Linked DNA regions of Stegostoma tigrinum. The protein of the gene in region 1 binds, or shares a complex with, the protein of each later gene. Links are inferred from orthologs where the notes say so. Each region holds a gene or a part of one and is shown on either strand. Other genes may lie near its edges.

Region 1 (7,603 bases):
TGAATGGAGAAAGGGATCACTTCCTTCATGTGAAAGTGTACCATCCCAGATAACAACATTCTCTTGCCAATGAAAGTCCCCCACCAATTTACAAAAAAGCCTTATACTTAAGCGAATTTGACAAGTCTGGTAGTGCTGTATGCATCTCTACCTTTGAGTGGGCACTTCAACCTTTGCATTATTTTCTGTTTTTTTTCTCTCTCTGCCACTTTTTAATTGCTTGTCTCTACGTATGTCACTGAAATGTATTTGTTGGTCACTGACTTTCTATACCTGAGCGTGTGTCTCAGATTCTGCATTGTGCATTTGTGTGAGACAGTGAGGAAAAGAGAACAAAAACAGAAGTTGCTGGAAAAGCTCAGCAGGTCTGGCAGCATGTGAAGAATTGCTGCCAGACCTACTGAGCTTTTCCAGCAACTTCTGTTTTTGTTCCTGATGTACAGCATCCACAATTGTTTCAGTTTTTATTGAGTGAGGAAAAGAGATCCGCCTAGGCGTGAGAATTCCCTGTGCGGGATCTCCATTTGTCTTTGTGTGCATCTGGGCGCTATTCTCACTCTTAAATGCTGGCTGCTGAATTTGTATATATGATTTCCCTCCTCTTGTCCTTTCCTTTTATTTTGCCCTCCCCCTCCCTCTCTTCCTGTGAAGCCCTGTCAGTGCAACCGTTCTCTCGCTGTATTCATTCTTGCTTTCTTTATGTATTAATGCAGATTCTCTTTCTTAACTTGTGTCCAGTTCTGTTCCTTCTCCCTCCCTCCTGCACCCCTTATCCGTATCAGTTACCATCATCTTCTATGAATCTGTTCTTCATATAGCCAGTCCACACTCCCTCCTCCTCTATCATTTTAAATTATTGACACCTATACACCTTCAACAGGAATTGTCAAATTTCCACGGACTGTCTCCAACTCACAAGATTATCCCTGTTACTCTCTCTCTCTTCAGAACATCAGTGGGTGGAATTCGTTTCTACAAATCGCTGGAGAGAGGCTGGGTTCCTCGTTGTGTTACATTTCTCAACCCGTTTTTCCTTACTGCTTCTGACCCACCGACACACACACACACAATTACTGCTTTCTCGTTTTAACAAAATGTTTCTCAAAGTCTAAAGAAGGAGCCTTTGATTTATAAATCCCCGTGCCTCAAATTTGTATCTCCCACTCTTGAAAGTCTATCTTGTGGCAAACCTGGGACTTTGTGAGAGAAAGTTGACGGGCATACCATGTTAATTCAGTCGAAATGAAGGAGAGAGAGGTTCTCCGTGCATTTTGAATATGCCACTTCCTAAATTTCTCAGCGAGCTTCATTCTAATGTAGAGAGCCATAGGATCCACGCCCCCGTCTGTTAGCAGACTGGGATTTTTTTTCCCCCTCTCTTCTAAACTGAAACCTTTGGCCCGTCTGTGCGGGGAGGTAGGTGTTCCTGACCTACAAGGAGCTGGTGGAAGGTCGCAGCGAAACTCCGCCAGAGTTCAGTTAACACCCAGAGCAAATCTTCCAGGGACCCTATCTCCTGTGAGCAGTTCACCACTCTGTTGTGTCCTTACCTCAGAGGGAGACAAATTCCCAGATACTACAAATGCCAACTATTTCATATAAATATGTATACGGAATGTAATCCAAAGTAGTGTGCCGAAAGTGTATATGGCTCGGAAAATATGCATTAAAATTATTTACATGCATTGAAAATTCACGTGATGTATTAAAAAATGCAAAATATGTATTAATGGTGCAGAATATATAGTTACACAAACGTTCGATTTTACTGAAATGCGCATAAAAAGTATATTGGAAAACTTTTGTTATTACAAAGTTACAAAGTACAATAAAAGTTACATCTATGTTAAAAAGTTGCATAAGTGTCAGATTATGACTGGAGATTGCATTACATGTATCAAAAATCCACAGATGTTAGAAAAAGCTCGGCAATCTGCACCCTTCTCGCCCACAGATTCGCTGCCGCTTGTGCCGTCCAGGTCCTAGTAATAAATTCCTGTAGCGCCAGTGAGAAAGTGAAGGTGATTCCTCGTTGAACAGTGGTACAGTAGCCAGACAGCAACAACAGACTAAGACAGCCGAGGGGGTAGGAGAGTACACTTCTATGATTTAAAAAAAATACCTCCCTTACCTTCGGTTCTCCCAGCTCCTGATAGTCATCGTAATAGTCTTGGCTAGATTCATAAGCGGAGTCCCTTTGCAGCAAGGCCGTGTAAATCAGAAAGAGAGCGATCTCTGAAACCAGCAGCATCTTTGTGCCGGGATACAACAGAAAGCGAAGGCGGCCGGTGCAATATTAAAAAAAAATAATCCTCGGATCTTTTGCCTTTTCCTTTAGGGATCAAGGTGGAAGGGAAAGGAGAGGGCGGGAGAATGGGGATGTGCGGGGCGGTGATATTAAACAACAACAAAAAGAGGGACTCAAAGGATTTAAAATGGCACGAAACGTGATATTCTGTTGGACGGTGGCGCTTTCTGGATCGTTAACTTCAGCGGAATAAGTGACACTTCTTTTGTAAAGGAGGGGAAGTAAAGTTTATCCACGTGTTGTCTGAATAAGCGGAGCTTTCACTCTGACGATCCGGTGAAAGAATCCTTCTGGCTGGTGGATGAGAGACAGCCAAGGAGGGAGGTATGGCATGTTTAATATGCAGACAGCTCCGAGTTCCCCTCAAAGCTTTCAGTGCAGCTTCTCTCCCCACACAGACCGAGTTTCGATGTGATCCCTTGCCTGCACTATTTATATAAGGAGTTTGGCAAGGAACACCAGAGAGAGGGGGTGGTGAGGGGTGAGACACGTGCACATTTTAAGCTCTACACAACCAGGAAACGGGTCTGACAATCCCCACGTGGCTACAAAAATAATATAAAATGTACAAGCCAGGCTCTGCCTTGTATCTCCTTCCAGTCTGACAGCTGTCTCTCTCTCCAGCTTTCGCTGTGGCTACATTAGCCGCGTACTGTATGCAGGCTGGCCGCTTTCGGAGCCTTTTCTCCCCCTTTCACAGGTCTCCAGTGTTAAATACGCTGGCAATGTCCCCCTCCCGGGGAGGGAGGCGGGTCCGGTGTCCAGCTCTGTCCGAAACAGGTTTCTTTCAATAACATGGAGGACCTGCATTTGTATAGTGCCCTTCCACCCCCCGCAGACAAAATGCTTTTTCACAGGCACCGGAGACTTCCTGGAAGTGCTGCAATGTGGAAAGAGGGCAACGGTGTTCGGTGATGAGAGGGTGGGGGTTGATGTCATTTGTGCACAGCAAGATCCCAGCAGAAACAATGAAATAAAGATCAGGTCAGCGCTCAGTAGTTGCATGATGTAACTGCCCTTCCCTCGATTGTGTTCTGGGATGCTTTACGACTGTTTGAAGGAGTGGACTTCGATTCAATATTTGGACTGGGGAGGGTATCTCTGACAGTGAAGGACGCCGTCAGTGAAGTGGGGAAGCAACAGCTTGCAGGCCCATCCTCCAGCTTGCAACACAGGGCGAGAAAATACCATTACAAACAGTTAGTAAGAGTAAGCTAATTGAGCCATTCTTTTTACTAAATGATTAGTTTGGATATGGGTATTGCTGGAAGAGAACGAGATTTATTGTCCAACCCCCCCCCGTCCGACAAGCTGACTGTGATCCATGGGGCTCTTGAGAAAGCAGGGAAGTTCATTGCACCAGTAAGACTGAAGGCACATAGGACAATACCTGGATAACCTGGCAGCTTTACATCTCTGAAGGACATCAGCTAGGTTGTTACAATAGTTGGAAAACTTCACTGGGCACTTTCGATAAAACCAACTTTTGATTTTCTTTTTTTTTAATTGTGGCTAGTTGTTGAAATCACAAACATTTCAATTAAAAAAATGACAGGCAATGAATGACTTACTGCCAAATACGATGGCTAGTAACACACCTCCTGATACCACAAAGCCTGTCCACCATCTACAGGGCACAAGTCAGGAGTGTGATGGAATACCCCCCAACTTGCCTGGATGAGTGCAGCCCCAACCACACTCAAGAAGCTTGTCACCATCCAGGATAAAGCAACCCCCTTAATTAGCACTGCATCCATAAACATCCACTCCCTCCACCAACAACGCTCAGTAGCAACAGTGCATATAAGATGCTCTGCAGAAATTCACCAAAGATCCTCAGACAGCACCTTCCAAACTCACGGCCACTTCCACCTAGAAGGACAAGGGCAGCAGATAGATGTAAACAATGTCTGATCATGAAAACTCGGCTCTATTTTGATTAACCCCCTCAATACTCCCCCCACCACCACCCTGACACACACACACACACACACACACACACACATGTTTGCATGGCTCGACGCAGAGGAGTTGACCTACATTCTGAAGTCTGCACCTGCCATTAACACCTATTCATCACCTATAGCCCTCTACTACACATTTAGCAATGACTTTGACTTTTGTTGCCTCGCCATCAGTTGCAACCTGTTACATTCCTTTGTTAACAGCATAAAAGCCATCATTTTCTAACCACTTTCAATTCTGAAGAAATCATTTCAGACTCAAAATGTTAAATGTTTCTCTGCCCCACTTGTTGCCAGTCCTGCTGAGTTTCACCAGCATTTTCTGTTTTTTCACCACATCACTTTCAAGTTCCCCTCCAAGACACTCACCATCCTGACTTGGAAATATATTACTACTCCTTCCCTATTGCTGGGTTAAAATCTTGGATTTCCCTCACTAATGGCATTGTGGGCGACCCCACAGCAGGTGGACTGCAGGAGTTCAAAAAGGCAGCTCACCATCTCCTTCTCAAGGGCAATTAGGTACGGGCAATAAATGCTGGCCCAGCCAGCAACAGTCACATTCCACAAATTAACTAAAGGAATGCCTGATGCCTTTTTGGTAATATAATCCCCTTGATGAAGATGTCCCTTACAGAACAATGATAAGGTTCTGATTGTCATCACTTTCCACCCCACCAGCTTCTGCCTTTAAAGGTTCGTCTTCTGCTTTCTCTGCTCCTCCCCTGTCAGCATCCCACAGAGACCATTCCCTCTGTTACACTCTGGTCCACTCCTCCATCACTCCTAGCACCTCTTCACCCTTCCATGACATCATCCCCTCCTATCACAGAAGTTGTAACACCTGTCCATTCACCTCCTCACCATTCAAGCCCCCATACATATCTTCCAGGTGAGGTAGCATTTCACTTGAATTTTATTTGATCTAATCTATTCTATTGCTGCTCACAATGCTATCCCCTTTTCTTTGGCAAGGCCAGATGCAGATTTCTTTGGGGAATATTTTAATCTGTCCAGAGGAATGACCCACATCTAGTTGCTAGCTATTTCAAGATAGCATCATTTTCAGATGCTAACATTTCTGTCCTTGGCCTGTCACAGAATCTAACTAACCCAAAGAAACCTACAAGAACAACATCTGATTTTCTGCTGAGGAGCAACAATGTCTGATCATGAAAACTCGGCTCTATTTTGATTAACCACCCCCCCCCCCCCAATACTCCCCCCATCACCACCCCGACACACACACACACATGTTTGCATGGCTTGACTCAGAGGAGTTGACCTACATTCTGAAGTCCACACCTGCCATTAACACCTATTCAGCACCTATAGCCCTCTACTACACGTTTAGCAATGACTTTGACTTTTGTTGCCTCGCCATCAGTTGTAATCTGTTACATTCCTTTGTTAACAGCATAAAAGCCATCATTTTCTAACCACTTTCAATTCTGAAGAAATCATTTCAGACTCAAAATGTTAACTCTGTTTCTCTGCCCCACTTGTTGCCAGTCCTGCTGAGTTTCACCAACATTTTCTGTTTTTATGTCTGAATATGTGGCTGATTGTTGCAGGTTTTGGAATCATCTGGTGCAGAAAAAAGATATCTGTGAATTGAATTGGGATTAGCCTGAAATCTGTAAAATGGATGCACCTCTTTAGTATATTTCAGTTGTTACTCTAGAAAGTGAAAATAATCTGAATATGTCTGATTATTATGTTTCATTAATGCATTTCTGTGTTTGTTCATTAGGAAAATATTCATTAAATGTCTTAGATGCCTTAGATTAATTTTTCATAATTTTATTACTTATTATCGGGTGTTCTACTCTACCAATACTCATTGAATTAATATAGGGATAATGAGGCAAATCTTGCAACTTTGTCCTTGGACCACACCCTGGAGCAATTTGTCAAACTTTTGTCCTGGGCAGTGATTTATTGAGGTCTCTGTGTCTACAGGCTGTTTCCAGCAATGCAAAATGAGTTCAGTATCAACCAATATCCCCAGTATCCCCAGAGGAGCTCGAACAGTTCATCCACTTCACAAACACCTTCCACCCCAACCTTCAGTTCACCTGGGCCATCTCCAGCACATCCCTCACCTTCCTGGATCTCTCAGTCTCCATCTCAGGCAACCAGCTTGTAACTGATGTCCATTTCAAGCCCACCGACTCCCACAGCTACCCAGAATACACCTCCTCCCACCCACCCTCCTGCAAAAATTTCATCCCCTATTCCCAATTCCTCCGCCTCCGCCGCATCTGCTCCCACGACAAGACATTACACTCCCACACATCCCAGATGTCCAAATTCATCAAGGACCTCAACTTTCCCCCCACAGTGATCGAGAACGCCCTCGACCACGTCTCCCGTATTTCTCGCAACACGTCCCTCACACCCCGCACCCGCCACAACTGCCCAAAGAGGATCCCCCTCGTTCTCACACACCACCCCACCAACCTCCGGATACAACGCATCATCCTCCGACACTTCCGCCATCTACAATCCGACCCCACCACCCAAGACATTTTTACATCCCCACCCCTGTCTGCTTTCCGGAGAGACCACTCTCTCCGTGACTCCCTTGTTCGCTCCACACTGCCCTCCAACCCCACCACACCCGGCACCTTCCCCTGCAACCGCAGGAAATGCTACACTTGTCCCCACACCTCCCCCCTCATCCCTATCCCAGGCCCCAAGATGACATTCCACATTAAGCAGAGGTTCACCTGCACATCTGCCAATATGGTATACTGCATCCACTGTACCCGGTGTGGCTTCGTCTACATTGGGGAAACCAAGCGGAGGCTTGGAGACCGCTTTGCAGAACACCTCCGCTCAGTTCGCAACAAACTACTGCACCTCCCAGTCGCAAACCATTTCCACTCCCCTTCCCATTCTTTAGATGACATGTCCATTATGGGCCTCCTGCACTGCCACAATGATGCCACCCAAAGGTTGCAGGAACAGCAACTCATATTCCACCTGGGAACCCTGCAGCCTAATGGTATCAATGTGGACTTCACCAGTTTCAAAATCTCCCCTTCCCCAACTGCATCCCTAAACCAGCCCAGTTCGTCCCCTCCCCCCACTGCACCACACAACCAGCCCAGCTCTCCCACTCCACCCACTGCATCCCAAAACCAGTCCAACCTGTCTCCGCCTCCCTAACCTGTTCTTCCTCTCACCCATCCCTTCCTCCCACCCCAAGCCGCACCCCCATCTACCTACTAACCTCATCCCACCTTGACCTGTCCGTCTTCCCTGGACTGACCTATCCCCTCCCTACCTCCCCACCTACAGTCTCTCCACCTATCTTCTTTTCTCT
Region 2 (8,003 bases), on another chromosome or scaffold:
AATTTAAAATATTTTCTTAAAAAACTGCAGATGGTGGGGATCTGAAACCCTTCAGTTTTGATTGTCTAGCAAATGATATTGTCAACAAAATGAATCGCCTTAAACATCTCTGCACTGGACCTCATCTGCCACTATCCAGGCCATTTTACCAGCTTTCTGAGATAACAAAGCATGGAGCTGGATGACACAGCAGGCCAAGCAGCATCTTAGAAGCACAAAAGCTGACGTTTCATCAAAAAAGGGGGATGGAGAGAGGATTCTGAAATAAATAGGGAGAGAGGGGGAGGCAGACCGAAGATGGATAGAGGAGAAGATAGGTGGAGAGGAGAGCATAGGTGGGGATGTAGGGAGGAGATAGGTCAGTCCGGGGAGGACGGACAGGTCAAGGGGGCGAGATGAGATTAGTAGGTAGGAAATCCCCGTCTCCCTAACCTGTTCTTCCTCTCGCCTATCCCTTCCTCCCACCTCAAGCCGCACCTCCATTTCCTACCTACTAACCTCATCCTGCCCCCTTGACCTGTCCATCCTCCCCAGACTGACCTATCCCCTCCCTACCTCCTCACCAATGCTTTCCTCTCCGCCTATCTTCTCCTCTACCTATCTTCAGTCGGCCTCCCCCTCTCTCCCTATTTATTTCAGAATCCTCTCCCCACCCGGTCCTTGGATAAACATATGGATGATAATGGAATAATGTAGGTTAGATGGGCTTCAGTTTGGTTTCACAACGTCCAAGGCCGAAGGGCCAGGGGTCTAGACCCAAAACGCCAGCTTTTGTGCTCCGAAGATGCTGCTTGGCCTGCTGTGTTCATCCAGCTCCACACTTTGTTATCTCGGATTCTCCAGCATCTGCAGTTCCCATTATCTCCTACCAGCTTTCCTACCCTCCTTGTGAAGATTAACACAAAGTTTGATTCTGGGGAAACTGTAGTTTAACCAGTTGCAAACAATAGAGCGTGTGTCGCGCTGGAATTTGCACCGGCATTTCCAGAGCCACGTTATACATAATTTTCCAAATATTTAAAATGACCAGGCAGAAAATCGCATGGAGTCTGTCGGAGCGGGTACTGCTCACAATCAGGGGAATTAACTCCTGGACTATATTCGGCATGCAACTCTTCCAATACTGCCATCACAGTTTTCACGTGACCTAAAAGTTTGTTTTTTCATGTTGATAAGAGCCAGGCAAGAAGGAATGGAGCACACAAACGATATGCGCCGCGCCTCGTGCTTATCTAACAGAGAACCAGAAATTCAACAAGTTCTTTACTCAACTGGAAATCGTGACAGAAACTGGTCGGGCGTGACTGCGGGGGATCATCTGCAAGACGAACAAAACATTCGTTCGAACAGGAAGTCTCTCCCATTGTGGAAAAAAAAGCACTTAAGTGAAGGCAGCTTTTTCCGATGTGTTATAATAGCTTGCTTGATTTAATGTGAAACAGTTGGGTCTTGTGTAAACCTCGGCGGAACATATGACCCTAAGACAGTCATAGAGTCAATCTCCTCCTGTTCGTTCTAAAGATTGCTGTTCTTGACAAATAAAGTCATAATATATAGTCAGCAGCGCAGCAGCTTATGATTGAAAAACAAATCTGTGAGGGAGTCTGTGGGATTGTTTTCTGTGGTTTTCCACACTTGGAGAGTTGATAGATTTATAAAAATTGGGCAAATCATGTAAACTATTTACATCACTAAGACACATGATGGAAACTAAACAGCGTGTGTACCGTTTGTAGTGTGTTTGGAATTGTGTTGCCTTGAATGACTAGCTTCTGGGAACTCGATAAGGACGGAGTGGGTCTTAATTAGGGTCATATTTTAGTGTTTGACCACATCAACTTGGAGCAGCTTCCGTTTGAGTGTTAGAGAGAGATAAGCAAAGTCCAGTTCTTGCCTCAATCCAGCCACCTCTGCACTTGCAAGCTGACGAGTAAAGTTTATTGCCTGAAGGTCTTGAAAATTCAAATAAAACTCCGCTGCCACGATCATCCCACCCTTTGCACACTCATGAGGAGCGTGCAAACTGCTCAACCGAAAGAATAGCATGGCCTCTCTGATGAAGGATCTAGGGCCGAAACGTCAGCTTTTGTGCTCCTGAGATGCTGCTTGGCCTGCTGTGTTCATCCAGCTTCACACTTTATTATCTCGGGTTCCGGGCCTATCCGCTGCTGACCTCTGAGCTAGCTGCTCGCACTCTGACCATCCCAATGTAACTAGGAAGGAGTAGCAAGAACTGCAGGTGCTGGAGTCAGAGACAACTCCGCGCTGTATTGTCTGTAACTAGGTTTGAATTCACTGTAAACGCAAAATATTGCGGAAGCTGGAAGCCAAAACACGAATAGAAATTTCTTCATATACTCAGCGAGGCCGGGCAACATCTAGAAAAGGGGAAACTATTTACATTCCAGGTCGCGAAATTCTGGGCTAAAGCTCATCGGCCTGAAAGTTTAACCCTGAATGGCGATAACAATTGAAAACTTTTACTTTCTTCGGAAGTTGTATGCAGCTTCTTTTAATTGTTCTGTAGATCTCCGCTTTTCTTCTTGATTTTCTTTCCCCTCCTGAATTTGGTGACTCATGCCGGTGATAAATTCCTGCATCATTCTGTGTACAACTGAAGGCGGTGACTACCCTCTCATTGACATAAACACGACAACTCTAGTCTGACTGTCTCAGAAGCGGCATACTGTACTCCTGTTAGCTTCACATTGTTCTGTATAGAGATACAACAGCAATCCCTCCTGTCGATTTGAATGGAACATATGCTCTTCTTCAAAGTCTCAAAGCAGCCTCGATATTAGGAATTCTTACACAGTATAGAGTGTAGTTCTTGATATCCCACGTGCACTATAGGCAAACAACTGACTTGCGAATGTAAGGTAACAGATTTGTTTGCTACCACGGGTGTTGAATGAGGTTTGAGTCATCTGTTTGCATTGCCGTGCAAAGCAGAAATGTATTTGTACAAAACAGTACATGTATAAAACAATCCTGCATCCAGACAGGTTGTGTATACCAAGGAGAACAAACTCAGCGTTTCCTCTCACTAGCATGACTCAGATCGAGAGCCTGGTGCTGTAGGGACTTGCAGGTGTCAGCCACATCTCTAGCCGAGACTGCTGTGGCAGCTCGAATGATTGCTCTTTTTCTAATCAGGTTTTTGTGTCCACTGCTCGTCAATGCAATGAGGGGGTGCTGTGAGGTGTGTAGATAGCGGTAAAGTTGAAGACATCCTGCTAAAACACCGGAAATCAATACTGACATGGGCATCGCGCTACTTCTGCACTTCTCCAACATTGCAGCCTTTCCCAGCCACACATCTCCTTTCTCTGTTTGTCTCACAAACTACAGCTCATGAGACCCAGTCACTGCCCACTCTGCCAAATGACCGATAGTTTTGTTCTATGAGGTGCATCTGAAATGATATCCTTGCTCTGCTCTCTGTAGATTTATTGCAGTCATCGCGTTTGACTCACGGGTCAGAGGATCGGGAGCAAAGACACGATCTTAAGAGTGTCCTTGCTGGCAAACGCACAATTATAATGAATTGTAGCGGGCGTAGATGCAATAATTCATAAAGGAAGGGCAGCAGGAAAGTGAACTCACCAACATGACAACGTTTTTGTAAAGTATGATGGGAAAGCAAGGCTGAGTCACGGGCATGTATAAATCTTTTCGCATTTAAAGTAAAACATTGCTATTGTTTGGAATTAAATTTAAAAAAAGCTGCTGTCTGGAGATAACTGACGTATTGAAAATAAATTACGTGAAGTCGAATCTCATGTATTTTATGCTCCTGATATTCAAGTGTCTCTGGAAAAGGTAGTACTTCGAATTGATGCAGCTAAATCCAAGATTTCGTAATTCATTAGCAGATGTAGCATGTGATCTGCAATACAGAAAATAGGCCTAAGGCCTACCCAGCCTGCACCTGTCAATAGCACTCACTGAATTATTCTAATCTCATTTTCCAGCACTGGGCCCGTTGTCTTGAAAGCCTTGGCATCACTTCGGCACATCTAAATACCTCGAGAAAAGTTCAGAGCTAACTCTACGCTCAAATTCAAACAACTTCCACCCCAGCACTGCCGTTGTCAAAACAAAATCTCGAAAGAACTGCAGATGCTAGAAATGAGAAACACAAAGAGCAATTGTTGGATACACTCAGCAGATCTGGCAGCATCTCTGAAGAGAAAGTAGTTTCAGGTCCAGTGACCCTTCTTCAGAACTGCTTATACGTTCAATTAGAAAAGTAAATGACTGGGCAGTAAATGGTTATTTTTTGTGCCAAGAAGTGCTAAATACTATTTAACCATCTCACTGTTCGACTCCCGACGAAAAGAGGAGGCAATGGCCTAGTGGTGTTATCACTGGACTGTTAACCCGGAGACCCAGCTGATGTCTTGAGGATCTTCTTTCGAATCCCGCCAGGGCAGCTGATGCAATTTGAATTCACTAAATACCTGGAAATGAAGAATCCAATGATGACTATGAATCCGTTGCCTATTGTCGGGGGAAAACCCATTTGGTTCACTAACGCCCTTTCGTGAAGGAAATTGCTGGCCTACCTGTGGCTCCAGACCCACAGCAATGTGGTTGATTCTTAACTGCCCTCTGGGCAATAAAATGCTGCCTGCCCGGCGACATCCTTATTCCGTGAATGAATAAAAGAAAAACTGTAAACGCCATTTAGAGACGACAACAAATATACACATAGGCTCAGCTGCATATTTCACGTTGCCCTTCCTGGCTTTGCAAAATTTAATGGAATCCATAAAATTTATTTTCGCTTCCAAACACTATTAATGAGGCGTGGTGGTATATGCTTGCGACATGTAGAAAATTATAGGTTCGTGTTGTAGAATTGTTCTAATCAATTTTTTTCAACAATATGTGCTAACATGTTTTCACCCGCAAGGAACTGCAATTTTGTGATAACTTTCCCGGTTGTTCGGGATGTTTAAGGATCAACAGCGCCGTCACGTCACGTGACGAATGGATCAACTTTCATGGTTCGGCACCTCCTCCCGTATATAATCCACAAATTGCCATGTCCACTTGACACACATTGAACTGACCTCAAAATTACAGCAGCTTCCTTTTCAGGGCGGACTAAATCAGAGGAAAAGCTCCTGGATTATCACGAGTGGCTTTTGCAGAATTCCTATTAACCCTCAGTCATTGAAAGGTGACTTTAACATGTTCCGCCGTCCGATCGACTGCAAGAACATAAGGCTGTGAGAAGCAGCGAATATTGACAAAGGAAGCAGATTGGCACAGCAACGGGAGACCACGTTCATTGGGATTCCGGCATTCCCACTGTGACATGTGGAAGAAGTGGGTTTTCGCGCTGTTGGTATGGCTGTGGACGGGATTTCCTAATGCAACGGGTGAGAGGGCGTTTTGCAGACTAACCTGGCAAAGTAGTGTGTAGGATTGAATGTCAAGAAATTCAAATTGAAGAATTCAGAGCACAATTCAACTTGAATCGTTGTAGAAAATGCAAGCACTTTATAATGCAAATTTGAGGTAGTTTTCTAATTATAGAAAATATTGTGCAATTATTACGTATTCTATCGGAATTTAACTCCATGTGCTATTACATTTCGTTAGAAACATAACTGAGTCTAAGGCACAGGGAATGCTTTTTTGAGATTATAAAAATGACTATGTGAGGCGTCCACTGTATTCAGAACCAGGGGGTCCGACCTATAACTTGATAAATCTCATTGAACAAAAATAAATGGTACGTTAGCCCTAACAGATAGTAGCCAAGCAGACTCAACCTTCTCGTTGTATGAAGCAGCTTTAGACGTCGAGCTTCAAATCATTTGTAGTGCCCTGGTTAGTTCCAATTAACAGCCCACTGCAGGCTCAGGGTTAGACTTTTCTAATTATCCTGTTACACAGCGCTGGAGCAGGTGGTAATTAAACCCGCGCCTCCTAGCCCAGAGGTAGGGACGCTATCTAGTACAAGAGCCCGAGGGTGAGATTACAAAAAAATTTAAACAACCCATTCAAGAGATGCTATCACTTAGATATATTTTTGCAGTAGGTGGGACTTGAACCCAGGCCTCCTGGTTCAGAGGTAGGGACACTAACTGCACCACTGAAACCCTCGGCTCAGATTCTCAGGATCTAACAAATGACAGGAATCTGGTGTGTCTTTGTGATGGCTTGGGATTCGCTTTGAATTCTCCGTTCGGTGAAATACAAAGATTAGTTAATAGTTGGACAACTGTGAATTTCAGTGCAAACTTTGTAATGATCTGTGATTTACAATGGGTTACTGCCCATTTATATTTCACCGAGTGTCCTCTTCTGCTGACTGTACTGTCATGCAGTATTGAAGCCGAAAGCTTGTGGATAAAATTGAACGGCAGTTCGGCAGTTCATTTATGTTAAAAGTAAATACTCTGGCTGCTGGTTCAGTTTGTGGTATGGACTTTTATAGGTGGTCCATTGTGAAATGAGTTATCCCAAGAACATAACCTGGTGAAAACTGGGCGGAATAGTACTGTGAACTGAAATCAGTCAGGGGGAACGCCGCTTCCCTTAGGAGCTCAGCTTTTACACCGCTCAGGAAGCTGCTGGGAAGTGGAGATGGGCCCAGCGGCCGGGGGAAGTGCGATGGAGATTTCTGGGAGGTAAAAAGGAACGACAGGTGACCGAAGGCATATCTTTTACTGGTACGCAGCCCCATCGGCTTTCGAAACAAATGGTGGAACTCGCTGTCAAGTTCAACTTCTCTCCCAGGATATTCTTCACAATCTGGGTAGCAGCATTACGGACTGAAGTCACGTTTCATGGTGGCCATTCTCTCCGAGATCCCTATAAATGTTGGAGAGGAACGTTCGTAGGAAAAACAAACCGAAACTTTATCGGTATAAAGAGGGGTTAGATAGATATATTAAAAAAAAGAAATAAGTCGAGGATTTGAGGGCAATGACAATCTGACACGAAAGTGGAGTTGACAACTGGGACAGACATTTTATATAATGGAGGGGACAGGCTTGAGGGACTGAATGGCCGACTCCTGCTCCTATTTGTTCTGTCATCTGGAGTATAATGGGGTCCCGATCGCACTCCTACCTAAACACAAGTCGCTCTTGCTGGGAGCAAACCCACTGCTCATACTACGTATGATATCCAACCATTAAAGCCCGGACCCTTGAGTAATACCACTCCCAGTTTTACGAACCGTTCAAATATATCTCGATTTTATGTGCCTGGATCCAGCATCTCTCGCTTGAAATCATAATTCATGCACCTAATTTGGCCTGTGAAAGGAAAGGAACGAAAACAAAATAATTTGATTTAAAACTGCCATTTTTCATAATGTATTCCTAGAAAAGGAAATTGAAAAGTGACCTGGGGCGGTTACCGCGATTCATTTTTACAAGGTTTTAATGTCAGTGCAGTTCCCTGGTAGCTAATTAAAGGTAAATGGTGGGTAAATGGTGCTAGAGGGTTGGGGGGAAGGGTGGAAGGAGGCAAGGTGGATAGGATTACTGAAGTCTGCTATCAACACGGATTGTTTCCCTGAAGTAGCTCATGACAGACGGGCAGGAGACGTGGGAGCAGTTGCTGTTCAGAGGAAATCTGTTGGGCAATAAGTGCAAGTCCCCTCTGACAGACTTTCTAACGAGGCGAATCTCTGTATACTTTAAATTGAACTTAGATCAGCATTTGGACCCAGCAGACCTGCACACTCCTCCCGCAGCCTTATTAGATGGACTGACAGCATACAGCATACCTGTACAGCAGGATAAAAATAAATACCATTCACATTTCGGGGTGTCACTGTCAGCGATTGTCGTAACAACCGTGATCTGGTTGCTGGATAGAAGGAAATCTTCATTTAAAAAACGCAGTCTTTTATATAACGTACCATTTTGCCATTAAATGAACCATACACAATTTTGTGTTTGAAAGGCTTTGTAAAGGTCCGTTATTATTTACCTTTTTTTATTTTTGTCGATGTTGCCATGTGAAGAAATTTG
Region 3 (7,706 bases), on another chromosome or scaffold:
TCTGACGCTGCTTAGTCTGTTCCATTCATCCAACTCTACACCTTGTTATCTCAGATTGTCCAGCATCTGCAGTTCCTCCTATCTCTGAGGTCAAAACAAGATCCTTTTGAATGGTGGAGCAGGCCTGAGTGGCCCACCTGTGATTCTAATGCGAATGTTTGATAGCATTTGAGAAATTGCGGGGGGAGTTCTGATGATTGCATTGGAACATGCTGTGTTAAATGGGATGAATTTAGAACAGATCTAGCAACTCAGTGCTGGCCATCCATGAGGTACTCCAGGCCATTAACAGCAGCAGAATTCTACTCAACCATAATCTGCAACTGTCTACCCACTTCCACCATTTCCATCAGGGCAGGAGATCAACCCTGGTTCAGTGAATTGGTGCAAGAGGTCATACCAGGAGCGTCACCAGGTTTATTTAAAAATGGGCAGTCAATACAGCAGCACTTGCACGCTAAATAGGAGAAGAGCAACTGATAGGCAAGACTAAATAAAAGCCAAAAGAACTGCGGACGCTGTAAATCAGGAACTAAAACAAAGTTGCTTGAAAAGCTCAGCAGGTCGGGCATCTGTGGAGGAGAAAACAGAGTTAATGTTTCAGGTCACTGGACTCGAAACGTTAACTCTGTCATTTTTCCTTCACAGGTGACAGACAAGACTAAGTGTTTCCACAACCAAAGGTTCAGATCATATATCTGCTGTCCTGCCACATCCAGTCCTGAATGGTGGTGGACTGTTAAACAATTGACAGAATGAGCTGTCTCCAGAAATATTGCTATTCCCAAAAATAGGCAGCCCAGTGCATCGCTGCAAAAGACAAAAACAGAAATTGCTGGAGAAACTCCGCAGGTCAGGCAGCATCTGTGGGAAGAAAGCAGACTCAACGTTTTGGGTCAGTGACTCTTCACTTTGAACCTCCCTGCCTCAGAAGGTGGTGGATGCAGGGTCATTTTAAAGTCAGATTTTTGTTATGCAGGACAGCCCAGGGTTCCCAGGAGAGAAATCTGAACATGGAATCTGAAATGTAAACCAATTAGCCATGATCTATTTGGATGGCAGAGCAGATCAGAGGGGCTGAATGGTCCACTTCTACTCAAGTTTGGTATGTTCATATCTTTGTATATAGATATATCGGAACATCACCACTTGCAAGTTCCCTTCCAAGCCACTCACTCTCCTAATACGTCACTGTTCCTTCAATGTTCCTGGGTCAAGATTCTGGAATTCTCTCCCTAAAGACATTGTGGGTAAGCCCACAGCACATGCACTGCAGCGGTTTGAGAAGGCAGCTCACCCCCACCTTCTCAAGGGCAGCTAGGGACAGGCAATAAATGCTGGGCCCAGCCAGTGACACCCACATCCTGGGAATTATTGAAATAATATAGTATGCTCAAAATCAAAGGGAAGAGATGCAGATATCTGGAGCGCAATGGGAAGAGAGTCCTCACCGTGTGACTATACTAATCCCACAGTTTTAATTCAGAACAAAGCAAGCTCCAGGCTAATACAGAAAGCAGGTAATCTGAGCTCAGCTGGAACAGAATGATCCCAACTTCAAATGGCTCAACCTTCTCACTCTTTCCAAGGAACACTCAATAAGAGTTTGATGGTCTGAACCTTTACTGGAGAGGCCAGGGGGCTGGGGAGAGGAAAGTGGTTTAGGGAGGAGGGGGTGGACAAGGAGGGGGAGATCAGAGAAGTACGATGGTGTATTCATTGCCTAGTGATGTGGAATTGGAATTTCAATCCAGTTTCATTTCCAATCCCCAGCATATCTGGTTCATCAATATCTTGAAAACTTCGTCCAATTCACATGGAGTTCCCAGTATCCTTAGCTCATTACACTCACACCGTGTCGACTTGGAAAGCAAAAATCGTCAATTCACTCCAACTCAATATAACCCGATAGTGGTGATTGAAATATTGTTTTCATACAATTTAAATGACAGTCTTTGGAGATAATTTACGGAAGATGGTGACTGTTTAAGACCCTGTAATTGCTGGTGACCCGGGGTTATGTGCAGACGGGAGCAAAGCCCATCTTCAATGTTGGAACAGTTTACCTGCGAGCTAGGAGTTCCTGAGCTTTCCCATCAGTAAACTGCAGTCAAATATGGAAAGAACTTCAAACACGAGAGGACAAAACATACTGAAAAATGAACGCTTAGCTCAAGTTCCCCTGCTAGCAGACTTTTCAGGACAGGGAGCAGACTGGAGTTGATACAAAGCTGAAGCTTGCTCTCAATCAGTCCCAATCTCTTTTCGGTTTCACACGGTTTTCTTGGGCACAAACCCCCAGGTCTATTCTGTCCCGTGTCATCAGCTGCGAGTTACCCCGGTCTCTTTTATATGACGGAACAAATCAATGCAACAAAATAACGTGTCTCAAGACGAAGAAGGTTTCTTTGCAAATGGGGAAATCTACAATAAAACATCCCCAAGAGCAAGCTACAACATAGATTCCGTCCTACCTGCTACAGCGCAGCTAAACGCTAAACACAAGAGGCTCCACACTGATCCTTGCAGCATTTCGTAAATTCTGAGTTTGTGAACACTCCCCTATCAGCCTTCAGGTATTACTCAGAAGGACAGCCACAACTTTTCAAAGTCCAAATCTACAGAGGTTTCCCACACACAAAAAAAGAGCAATTTACAATCCAACTCGGAGGTGCAACTTCATTTCAAACATCTCCACAGTTCGCCTGCCTCAACAACACTCAAACAATCCGCAGCTCGAACCTTCAGCAAACACTGACTCCTACCTGATTTACACACGGCTACAAACCAAATCCAGACAGAAAAGGTAAAAGCTTTCTTCATTTCTAGATGTCCAATCCTGGAGTGTTTGAAGTCTCCGATCAAAGAAATGAAAAATATTAAATTCCTCTTCTCTGCCTCTCTCTCGCAGACACACGTGTAACTCAGAGCCCGTGGGTCAGGTACAAGCTGAGATTTAGTTCCGAGCAGCTCCGGGGACGAGCAGCCGTGGAAACCACAAGGAAATTGTTTGAAGGAAATGTGTGCAACGATTAACATCAAGTGAGATACGTTTCCTCTTTGCAACCCTTTCGCCACTTCCACCAACCCGCAGGAAAACAAAAGTATTTTTCTCTCTCCCTTCCTCCCCTCCCTCGTTTTAATCTGAACAGATTCTCCAGATTCCCTGATCTCCAACAAGAGTTGAACTTCTGCACAGTTTTTTTGGTGAAAATTTCCAGACGTCTAGCGCCTTCACCTATCGAGTACGATTCACAAATCGCAAACGTATTCATCTTTAAAATCCCTTTATATTTGAGACCGCATTAAGACAAAACAGTATTTAACCAGATTCGGGTAGGATTCTAATTATTTGTTATAATATATCCCTAACAACGAAGAATTTAAATTTAAATACACCAGCCTGCATAAACCGAGTTCTTCTTGTACTTCCAGGCTATTTTCCCCTTAAACTCCTTAGGTTTAAATTTAGACTAAATATTTCCTATGTAAACCTGTCATGCTGTAATTATGGCCTTCCACCACTGATGGCGCTGTAACCCTGATATTGTTGATCTTTATCTTCAGACCCCAAAGTTCACTGGCTGGAGTCACAGAGGCATACAACAGGGAAACAGACCCTCAGTCCGAATCGTGCATGCTGACAAGATATCCTAATCTCGTCCCATTTTCGAGCATTTGGCCCATATCCCTCTTAACCCTTCCTATTCGTGTACCTATCCAGATGCCTTTGAAATGTTGTAATTGTACCAGCCTCCACCACTTCCTCTGGCAGCTCTTTCCATACATGCATCATCCTCTGCGTGGAAAAGTTGCCCCTTAGGTCCATTTTTAATTCTTCCCCTCTCATCTTAAACCTATGCCCCTCTAGTTTTGGACTCTCCCACCCCAGGGAAAAAACCTTGTCTATTTACTCTATCCATGCCACTCATGGTTTTATAAACCTCTATAAGATCACCCATCAGCCTTCAACATTCCAGGGAAAAAAGCCCCAGCCTATTCAGCCTTTCCCTGTAGCTCAAACTCTCCAACCCTGGCAACACCCTTGTAAATCTTTTCTGCATTCTTTCAAGTTTAACAACGTCTTTGCTGTAATCGGGAGATCGGAGTTGAGTGCAGTATTCCAAAAGTGGCCTAACCAGTGTCCGGTACAGCTATAATGTAACATACCAATTCCTACACTCAGTGCACTGACCAACAAAGACTAGTGTACAGAAAAACCTTCTCTGCCCATCTTGTCTACCTGCGACTCTAACTTCAAGGAATTGTCAACCTACACCCCAAGGTCCCTTTGTTCAGTAATACTCCCCAGCTCTCTACAATTAAGTGTACCAGTTCTTGTCTACTTCATTAGTTGCTAATATTTTTAATGTAAATAATATAAAATCAATTATATACTAAAAAGTGAATTTATGACTTTAAAATAGGGATTGAATTATAACGAAACATCCTGGACCTTATCTCCTGCCTGTTATCCCCACTTCACCAATAAGTAGTAGTAGAAATATTAAAACTAATGATATGCATTGTAATGGAAATATGTTATTCAAAATATTAATTTATAATATAATTGACCGGGCATGGTCACTTGGTCAGAAGAAGCTGCAAGGTTAGCATGAAGGAGATTTCACCTGAGCGAGACAGAGACAGAAGTGAGTATCTGGGAATTTGGGTACAAGTTGGAATTCAGGGCAGACCGGAGTGGGGGGGATGCGGGAAAGAGGGGAAGGAGACGTGTTTGAATTAAGGTTTACTGTAAGGAATAAAGTCTTCAGAGAAAGGGATGACCGAGAAAGGAAATAAGGTGGAGATCAAGGGGCTTATGTGTACTTAAACCAACAGCAGTGTGACATCCTGAAGCCGGGAAAGCAGCTGATTTTTAGTTTTTCTCATCTTTAAAGTGAAAGTTGGTTATTTAGTTTAAATCCTGAGTGTTTTACCCTTCTTTTCCTGAACAATAGCTTCTTATGTTTTCAGAGGCTAGTACTGATTCTAACGATAACAGAGGTTTTCAGAGTTATGGGATGGCAACTCGGCACAACATTGAGGGCTGAAGGGCCTGTTCTGCGCTGTATTGTTCTATGTTCTAAGTCAGATGGGACAGGCAGATTGGAGATCCTGCAGTATGTGTGAAGTCAGGGACATACCATGCTTCCCAGATGATCCCAGAAAGTGTCTTCAGCTGCACATGCTTGAGGTCCCGCTTTTGGAATTCTAGCAGTATCTTGGGTCACTGCTGTACATCCATGCAGCAAAGGACAACATGCGTAGCACATATGGGGAGGTAGTCACAGATTAGAGCTTTTACAAGAAAGACGTTCAGATTGAATTCACATGACCCAGACTGTGGCAGGGAAAGATATTAAAATTGAACACGGTCGGAGATAACATTCCTCAAAAGCAATATCCTTTGACCTGTGATAAGAGGAACTGCAGATGCTGGAGAATCCAAGATAACAAAGCGTGAAGCTGGATGAACACAGCAGGCCAAGCAGCATCTCAGGAGCACAAAAGCTGACGTTTCAGGCCTAGACCCTTCATCAGAGGGCTCTCTCAGCTTTTGTGCTCCTGAGATGCTGCTTGGCCTGCTGTGTTCATCCAGCTCCACACTTTGTTATCCTTTGACCTGTCTTGGTTTGAAGTCTCTCTCATTAAAGTTTGAGAGTTGAAAGTGCACTGGAAGACCATATCACAACAAGTGGACAGTTATAGAGTCAGAGAGACATACAGGATGGAAACAGACCCCTGTCCATGCCAACCAGATATCTTATATAAATCTTGTCCCACTTGCCAGCATTAGGCCAATATCCCTCTAAACTCTTCCTATTCATGTATCATCCAGGTGTCTTTTAAATGTTGCAATTGTACCAGCCTCCACCACTTCCTCTGGGAGCTCATTCCCAGCGTGTACCACCCTCTGCATTTTAATGTTGTCCCTTAGGTCCCTTTTGAATCTTTCCCTCTCATCTTAAACCTATGCTGTTTAGTTTTGGACTCCCTCACCCCAGAGAAAAGACCTTGTCTATTTTCCTGAACCATGCCCCTCATGATTTTGTAAATTTCTATAAGGTCACCGTTCAGCCAACATTCAGTCTTCTGCTGCCTCACCTGAGGCTATTGATGATACACATATCTGAGGCACCTAGCTGTCAGTTCCCTAGCTTCACACAGAGTTCTCGGGTAGACCTGATCAGGTCCTGGAGATTTATCCACTCTTATGCATTTTAAGACATCAAGCTCCTCCTCCTCTGTATTTTGGATATTTTTCAAGATGTTGCTATTTATTTCCCCATGTTCTCTGTCTTCCATATCCTTCTCCAGAGCAAACACTGATGCAAAATACTTGTTTGGTGTCTCCCCCATCTCCTATGGTTCCACAAATAAGTGGGCTTGCTGATTTTTAAGTTGCCCTATTCTGTCCTAGTTACCCTTTTGTCCCTAATATATTTGTGGTTTGGATTCTGCTTAACCCTATTTGCCAAAGCTAACATGTCCCCTTGCTGCCCTCTTGACTTCCCTCCTAAGTATATTCCTACTGCTTTTATATTCTTCTCAGGATTCACTTGATCTCTGCTATTTATACATGACATATGCTTCCTTCTTATTCTTGTCCAAAACCTCAATTTCTCACCCAGCATTCACCGCACCTACCAGTCTTGCCCTTCACCCTAACAGGAACATACTGTTTCTGGACTCTCGTTAACTTATTTTTGAAGGCTTCCCATTTTCCAGCCATTCTCATTATCTGCAAACATCCACACCACCCCCCCCATCAACTTTTGAAAGTTCTTGCCTCTTACTATCAAAATTGGCCCTCTACTGATATAGAACTTGAACTTTCAGATCTGGTCTACCCTTTTCCATCACTATTTTAAAACTAATAGAATTATGGTCACTAACCCAAAGTGCTCCCCCACTGACACCTCAGTTACCTGCCTTGCCTTATTTCCCAAGAGTGGGTCAAGTTTTGCACCTTCTCTGGTAGGTACATCCATATACTGAATCAGAAAATTTTCTTGTACACAATGAACAAATTCCTCTCCATCTAAGCTCTTAACACAATAGCAGTCCCAGCCTATCTTTGGAAAGTTAAAATCCCCCACCATATCCACTCTATTATTCTTTCAGATAACTGAGATCTTGACATCCTAGAATTCCTACAATGTGGAAGCAGGCCATTTGGCCCAACAAATCCACATCACCCCTCCGAAGAGCATTCAACCCAGACCCATCCCCTCTACATTTTCACTGTAACTCTACATTTCCCATAGCTAATCCACATAACTTACACACCCCTGGACATGATGGGCAATTCAGCATGGCCAATCCACCTAACCTGCACATGTTTGGACTGTGGGAGGAAACCAAAGCACCCAGCAGAATCCCATGCAGAAACGGGGAGAATATGCAAACTCCACACAGACAGTCACCTGAGGGTGGCATCAAACTCAGGTCTGGCATTGTGAGGTAGCAGTTTTAATCACTGAACCACCATGCCGCCCTTACAAAAACTTTTACAAAATTGCTTCTCAATTTCCTGCTGACCACTGGGAGGGTCTGTAGTACAATCCTAACAAGGTGATCATCCCTTTCTTATTTCTCAGTTCTAACCAAGTAACTTCCCTGGATGTATTCCCAGGAATATCCTCCCTAAGTACAGCCGGAATGTTATCCCTAATCAAACATGCCACTCCTCCTCCTCTCTT

The links.
Region 2: the proteins of vegfc (region 1) and kdr are in contact, whole or in part, in a crystal structure (PDB 2X1W), measured with the Homo sapiens proteins. The link is inferred for Stegostoma tigrinum from reciprocal best matches to the Homo sapiens genes VEGFC and KDR. Residues at the interface, in NP_005420.1 of Homo sapiens: Thr148, Asn149, Phe151, Lys153, Phe186, Ile188, Val190, Pro191, Leu192, Gln194, Pro196; in NP_002244.1 of Homo sapiens: Val135, Tyr137, Ile215, Val216, Val217, Val218, Asn253, Val254, Gly255, Ile256, Asp257, Phe258, Asn274, Arg275, Asp276, Phe288, Leu289, Ser310, Ser311, Gly312.
Region 3: the proteins of vegfc (region 1) and flt4 are in contact, whole or in part, in a crystal structure (PDB 4BSK), measured with the Homo sapiens proteins. The link is inferred for Stegostoma tigrinum from reciprocal best matches to the Homo sapiens genes VEGFC and FLT4. Residues at the interface, in NP_005420.1 of Homo sapiens: Leu119, Asp123, Trp126, Gln130, Asn167, Arg210; in NP_891555.2 of Homo sapiens: Gln172, His199, Asp200, Ala201, Leu202, Tyr203.

What each region holds. Positions count from the first base shown.
Region 1 is NC_081356.1:120,836,986-120,844,588, reverse strand, and holds the start of vegfc (vascular endothelial growth factor C), read right to left. Parts: upstream 3,009-7,603; 5' UTR 2,252-3,008; coding exon 2,132-2,251; intron 1-2,131. UniProt on the Homo sapiens protein: Growth factor active in angiogenesis, and endothelial cell growth, stimulating their proliferation and migration and also has effects on the permeability of blood vessels.
Region 2 is NC_081354.1:108,373,754-108,381,756, reverse strand, and holds the start of kdr (vascular endothelial growth factor receptor 2), read left to right. Parts: upstream 1-5,000; 5' UTR 5,001-5,326; coding exon 5,327-5,390; intron 5,391-8,003. UniProt on the Homo sapiens protein: Tyrosine-protein kinase that acts as a cell-surface receptor for VEGFA, VEGFC and VEGFD. Plays an essential role in the regulation of angiogenesis, vascular development, vascular permeability, and embryonic hematopoiesis.
Region 3 is NC_081366.1:12,011,624-12,019,329, forward strand, and holds the start of flt4 (vascular endothelial growth factor receptor 3), read right to left. Parts: upstream 3,004-7,706; 5' UTR 2,824-3,003; coding exon 2,766-2,823; intron 1-2,765. UniProt on the Homo sapiens protein: Tyrosine-protein kinase that acts as a cell-surface receptor for VEGFC and VEGFD, and plays an essential role in adult lymphangiogenesis and in the development of the vascular network and the cardiovascular system during embryonic development.